Linked DNA regions of Caenorhabditis elegans. The protein of the gene in region 2 interacts with the protein of the main gene of each other region in a biochemical or structural test. Each region holds a gene or a part of one and is shown on either strand. Other genes may lie near its edges.

Region 1 (3,757 bases), 9.1 Mb from region 2:
GCATCAACAGTACACTCAATTTCTAAAATAATGGAAATATTATCTTCAAGATGAAAAAAAACACCCAATTTTCTTATGATTTGAATTAAAAATTGTGAGGTTTTTCCTTTTTCGTATAATTTTCAAACATGTCAACTAAGAATTCTGGCTTAAGAAACGCCAATATGGCAAAATATCGTAACAGTAATTAATTAAACACCATGAATACATTTTAACATTTCTTGTAAAATTGTTTCATTAAAGTTAAAAGTGCAATTACTTACTTTTCGCATTTCATAAGTTCATAAAAAAGAAGGCAACTAAAATTTGTTGGTTTTCTAAGACGTTCCTATTTAAAGGTTGAGTAGCGTCAGTGGGGATTTTGTCTAAATCTAAATCTAAATCTATCGTGATTCAAAACGACCAAATATCATAATAAAACACTCCAAAAATGATTTTTCATAATTTCCGAAGTTTTTGCAAACTGCCAAAATTTTGAAAAATATGAGCTTTTGAGGAATTTCAAAGAAATGCCACATGTTCCGACCCCTACAATGTTTTAATACAAATAATTAAAACAAAATTACAGTATAAAAAGTGTAGAAAATTTTTTTTTTCAGGTCGACTTCCAAAATTATGAGTGGCAAAAACTGAGTAACTGTCACGTTTTGACAGTAACTGGCGCTACTCCACCTTTAAGTTACATTTCAATTTTTTTAATCAACATTGTAGAGGTTCAAACATGCGATGCCCAATTTTTTTTTCAAACGGCCAGTTTTTTGTTTGAAAATTTTCCGAAACTGACTTGTTTGAAAATGTTCAAAAGTACACGTTTTTGTGATTTCCGCCCACATTTGACTATAATGAGTGTATTCAAACAAACCCCCTTTGAAGCTACTCCTTCTTTAATGCTTTAACTTCATACAACTCCTAAACCTACGTGTAAGCTTTACCCAGCTAATCATCTATTGGTTGTCCGATCATTTGCATCTGCATTTCCAATCATTTGGTAATTACACGACATTTCTTCACTTTAATACCCGGGAATACTACAACAACAACAACTTTTTATGCAGGCCAATCTATCTTCATTTTCCTGAGAAGCAACTTTTTAATATCTTTAAGAATAAACAATTTTTTTGGGGGGGGGGGGGGGGGCAGCCGACAGTTGGCGTGTTCTTTCTTATGCTTGGATTTTTGCTCTCAGCAAAAGTTCATTTTAATTCAAAAAGTTCGAGCTTGTTCGGTCGGCTTGTTCGCCTTCCTCTTCATTTCTTTTCAACATTTCACCAAGCCAATTTGAGCAACTTCAACTCCTTTTTCACCCCCCCCCCCCCCCCCCCCCCTCCCTATTCCAATTGGTGTTTGAGCCTTTTCTATTCGAGTCTTATTTTTATTGCGAGTAAACCTAGAAGTATTATTTCCACGCCGTGAAAAGGGACTAATGAATGTAGTTTCCTCTTTTTTTTTTTGAAGAGTTCTTGGTCGCCTCTTTTTTAGTGGGTTCTTAGACCTTATATGACAAAAGGAAACCCATGAATCAGGATCTGGCAGTGAGGCGTGTAATCCTTTCTTTCCTCACCATTTCAAAATACTTTGAAGGTTCTGGCAAAAACCGGACTCTATATATTCCACATCGGTGCTCTTATTCTCGGTTTCATATTTATTTATATTTATTTTTGCTGCTGCTAAATCGACTTCTTACATCCGTGAAACCAACTTTAGGAATATCTAGATCTGTTATTATGTTTGTGATTTGCAAGCAGACATGTCAAGTTATAATTAATCTCAGACAATCTCTAAATTGTTGCCTAATCTCAATTGCCCTTTGCTCGGGCATCCTAGAAATCTGTAAGCCATTGGCTTTTCTGTGACTGCTCTTTGTTTTCTCACAGATCTCAATGGTGCTACTACTAACGGCTCAATTTTCATTCAGGGCGTCGGGTCGTGCCGCACCATTACTTGTTTTATTCACTCTTTTTTCTCTTTTTTTTTCTTCATCTCACTAAAATAAAATAGTTTTGTCCCCCCCCCCCCCCCTCTTTTGCCTCTTTTGCCCGGAGCATCATCCCCTCCCTTTTTCACCCCTTCTTTGCCACCCACTATGAACTCGACGTGTTATTGTCATTTTCAGTCCTTTTGCGCAGATTTCTTCTTCCTACATTGTCAACCTTTCAGAAACTTGTTGCTCAATGACAAGTATTATACGAGCCGAGTATGCAGCCTGCCAAGAATTGAAAAAACTGGAAAACAGTTCGTATAATCCGGGGTGGGTCAAGTTCCAGTGTTCAGTTTTTTTAAAGGTTCTAGTTTCAAACTCACGTGGTGTCAGAGTGTCGCATATCGACTTGATCTACGTAGATCTACAAAAAGTGCGGGAGAACAGACGCAGAGTTCTCAACTGATTTAGCATGGTTAAGAATGTGGTGACGTCACATTTTTTAAGCGAAAAATTCCCGCATTTTTTGTAGATCATACCTGGCACCACGTGAATAATTGATTTATTTATTTTAGCCTGTAGGTTTCAAAATGTTAAATTTAATCATTAGGAATTATTAAATTTATGCCATTTCAGAGGTTGTTCAGTTGACTTTGACAAATCATTATGTTGGGCAAGTGCACATATTGGACAGCAGATGACCCGAGACTGCCCATTCACATTTTGCACTGCAATTCCTGGGTGCGAAGAAATTAAAGGTTTGTTGAAATTTCTAAAAACGGAAGCGTTGAAAAATACTTCCGCAATTTGCGATTAGGTACTGATGAACGCTTCAGATACTCCATGAAGGTTAGAAAAACAAAAAAAGTAAATCGTTGATTTGTTTCTTAATTGAATGGGACGTTTTTTTTTTCATGAAGGGTTAGCAAGTGTATTATGAGTACATCAATGGTATTGGAAGAATAAAAAGTAGACTTCTGAAATTAGATTTGTTTCTGAAATAATTGTGTGGTTGAAAATAACTTTTAGCTATGTTCTGACTGAAAATTTTTACATGACTTTGCCCAGAAAATTTGAAAAATTAAAATTTCCTGAAAGCAATTTCAGATCTACTTTTTTCTGGTTCACAGTGCCCGTATGCAGCTAAATTTCTTGTAGTGACCTATTAAGAAGATGATCTTTCAAAGTATCAGTGTAGTAATTTTCAAAAATTAAAAGCTGTAGCTCCACTAGCCCTTAACATGTGATAATGTGCACATGTTGCTATTGGGAGCTATTCAGCAAGCTATGGGTGTTCAGTAACTCATAATTTAGGAAGTCGGCCAACAAAAAATCCCCACTGACGCTACTCCACCTTTAAGTATTCCAATATTTTACATAATCTGCTCAACTGTTAAGACATGTTTCAATTAATGTACAATTAGTTTGTCTTGGCTCCTGTTTTTAGTTGTTGTCTTTTATTAGATCCTCATCTTCCCGTTCTTTTGAGCGAGCTCACATGAACTTTCTGACCGATTGCTCTGTAGTTTGCTATGTTTATCTAGAGCCATTTATAAAAAGCTCAACTCCTGGAACACACGTCAAACCACAAAGACACGAATGCCTTCCACTCGGTTTTAAGCCGATGGATTCCTCGAAAAAAAAAAATCGAGAAGCGTTTTTGCTCGTTTCTGGTGATACTTTTATCTTAGTCATTCATCAAACTCGACGCAACGCCGATGCTTCCGGCAGCTAGTGCGAAAAACAAAGAGAAAAAAAAAGGCAGAGCGCAACACTCAAAACTTTGCCTGCTTTTTTCTTCTAGCCGCTAGTATTTTGTAAAATTGTGTAGGGAAAATT
Region 2 (3,350 bases):
GGGGGTTTCATCCCCTAGGGGGCCCCCATCCCCGAGGGGTCACATCCCCTAGGGGATGGGAGCGTGTCGTACATTTTTTTTTCGTCTAACACTTTATTTTTTCGTCTAACATTGGAAAAAATCAGCTTTTGGGTAAATTTAGCAATTTTGTGCCTGGTGGAGCTTTCACTGGGCTATAATTCAAGCGACGTCCTAGCCGGGGACTGTGGCCGATAATCCAGTCGTGGATTGCTCCATTCCCAATAGAGTCTGGGTGAACCTAAGGGGCGAGGCCGGACTTGGAATCGTCATCTCCAGATTGCTAGCGGCCACCATTATTGACTGAGCTATCCTGCCCCCTCCCCCCCTAAGAAATTTTATCAGATAGAAAAACGTAGTTAATTTTCACAAATTTCAATTTCATTTTAAAAAAACAATTGACCACATTTTCGTATACAGTTTCTTTCATCCCATTATTGTTTTTACATGTTTAAGTTTTTCCAGAAAGAAAGCATTGCAAGCCAAATAATTTTTGGAGGCGGAAACTAACGAAGATCAGCTTACCGTTCATATTTGCATTTCACGTTTCCTTTTAATGCGACTTTTCCTTCCGTTCCTAATAAACGTATCCGGATGTATGAGTAACAAAAAAAATCTCTATATGACGTAACGATGAAATTATTTATTGGGTCAATGGAGCTTCAATTTGTTGTGGAGAGAAATGGAGAAAATGAAGACTAGATATATCAAGAAACTGACGAATATCAATAAACGTATACAAATTGAGGAGCAGCTTTGTTTTTTTTAGTTTTCAGGAACAGGTTGATTTTAATTTGAGATCTTTCAGTTTCGACACAAGTCAGCGACAGACAATGGGGGAGGGAATGAGAGAGAGAATAGTAAAAAAAATGAAAAGAGAGAGAGAGAGTAAGAGAGACACACAGAAAATTAGTTTCCTTTAATTACAGTCAGAGCCACAATATGAGAGGATGATGGGAATTTGATATTAGGGGTTAAGGATGAATTGTCAGTTTACTTTCTCCCGGAAGGCATGAAATGGAAGTTATCTCCTCCCTGTGGTGAAGCCATGTACTCTGCCAGAGAAAGTCCCATGGATGCTGAAAAATTGACGATTTTGCTGAATTTAGGTTCAATATTCACTCACGGCTTCTCTTAGACTTGAGCAACACAGTTCGGTATACTCGCGACATCAGTTGGTCGATATTTGAATCCTCAGTCTGAATTATATTAAAGAATAAACTTTGGTTCAATATTGGAACATACCCCATCAGCCCAGGCATAGGCAGCAATGCAGAAAACAGCCAAAAGCAGCCACTTCATCATTTTTGATGTGATTTTACCTGGAAATTAGAAAAATTAAACAATTTAAGATTAGATTAACAAAAGTCTAAAAAGATGACGAGCAAAAACGAGACGGCGCCGAGTTGAAGAATGACATGTTGAGATTGAAAAACATGATGTGAATGTTAGCGACTTGGGGCGGGGCTTTTGCTCTCAATGAATGGAAAAGCCGGGGGTTTGGAGTCACTGACGAACAATCCCAAGCTTAATTGTGGACATCTAGAGACACGGAATGGAGGAAGAAATCTGATTTTTTTTCCTTTTTCCAAGAAAGCGCCACTTGCTCTGACGAATTCATCCGGAAAAGTCGGAAGTTTATTGAAAAATGACGGAGCGGAAAAGGAAACAGATTTGGTGCGAGAAAATGCAGACAACACACAGAAAACCATGATAAGAATGAGTTGAAAACGCGTCGAGTCGACGGTTTTTATAAGAGCCATTGACGCATTCTATCATTTTCCATATCGCAATATTGCCACATGTGCCCTTTGTGTTTGCGCTAAATCGTATTAACACGTCTATAGGAATGTTGATTATCAAAGAAGATGCCGGACCCTCTCTGGCACCAGATGCAATCAAATTACGCCTACCACAAGTGTTGGGCGTCGAATACAACACAACCACCCAAATACATCATATTGTTAGTTATGATCGAATGGTGGTCGATAAATAATTAAGTATTATATGTAGTGGTTTGTATGTTAGGAAAGTCATGAGACATCTTTCAAAGGGATTTCGGCATATTTTCAAATCGAGCTTGATTTAAAGGTGGGGTTTAGAAATTATTTTTACTTTCAGTCAAATACTCAGTTTGCACCAATTTTTCGAAAGTCGTTGATAAAAAAATGTTGCTATGTATGCTCTTATTATTTTCAATATATTTATAATTCAAAAGTGTTCAAACAAACAGGTTCCAACACGTTCAATCTTGCGACTATGTTCAGATATCTCGAAAAGTGACGCCAACTCAGTGCTCACTACGAAAATCAAAAAATTTTAAAAATTTGTTCGAAAAGTTTTATTATGATGTTTGGTTAATTTGGCACAATAAAAATGTGTTGTAATCATTTCCTCCTTCACCTTTCTTCACCTTTTATTAGCATAAATCTTCGAAAAATTGTAAGCAAAATGAGTTAGAAATTTCATTTTTGTAATTACTGTCGTTTATAAATTAAGCGTATAATTTTCTAATTGGCTAAAAATTTTCAAGGACTTTTTCATTAAAGTAATAGTCTTTATCGTTACATTTTTTCATTTAGATTGGAAAATTATTGGACATAAATTGATTTCAGTTATCAGAGCAACATTATTAATATAAAAATTCAGTTTTTTTCAATTACGAAGAATATTATGATGATCGTTAAGAATTAATTTTCGAGTGGTTTATTAGGAAGCTGGAAGCATCAACATTATAGACGCATGATGAGCACATCACTAACACACCGCTTTGATCGAAAATTAACAACGTGCTTACCTTTTGCCATTCTCAAATTTCATTTCTCAGCTCTTTTTTGCTGAACTGCAGTTTTATATTTTTCAAACAAAATACTACTTTCAATAAAGTGACACTACTCTTTAGAATCATTAAATGTTCTTTCAGCTTCGATTGTTTGTTTTTCCGTGTATAACTTTTAGATTTGTCATAGAAATAATACTTCTATTGTAAATTGCCGGTTGTTATTCTAAGGTCAGTAAGGTCAGAAAGTTTTGTCAAGATATTTTAATCGGTGAGCTTTTCGAAAGCAAAAACTCATTTATAAATAAACTGAGAACGTTCCAACAACCCACTCAACTGGTCATTACCATGTTTTAATGAACTTTGGAAAACACTTTGGAAAATAGAAACAATGACGAACTTTGAATGAACTTAATTTGTAACGAGCATTAAGTATAGTAAAGTTTTATTTTAGATCTTTAACTAAAAAATGTTTTAGTATTGAAAAGATCAACGGGGTTGAAATATGAAAATTGAACAAGAAACATATTGTTAGGACCAAAGAAAAAGTCTT

The links. The genes of interacting proteins can lie anywhere in the genome.
Region 1: of the proteins of nlp-49 (region 2) and seb-3, one has a biochemical effect on the other in vitro, tested with the Caenorhabditis elegans proteins (2 studies listed by BioGRID, with this or other methods).

The regions. Positions count from the first base shown.
Region 1 is NC_003284.9:15,024,151-15,027,907, forward strand, and holds the start of seb-3 (G_PROTEIN_RECEP_F2_4 domain-containing protein), read left to right. Parts: upstream 1-2,157; 5' UTR 2,158-2,171; coding exon 2,172-2,248; intron 2,249-2,554; coding exon 2,555-2,676; intron 2,677-3,598; exon of another isoform or gene 3,599-3,726; intron 3,727-3,757.
Region 2 is NC_003284.9:5,902,643-5,905,992, reverse strand, and holds nlp-49 (Neuropeptide-Like Protein), read right to left. Parts: upstream 1,341-3,350; 5' UTR 1,324-1,340; coding exon 1,264-1,323; intron 1,218-1,263; coding exon 1,145-1,217; intron 1,098-1,144; coding exon 1,012-1,097; 3' UTR 648-1,011; downstream 1-647.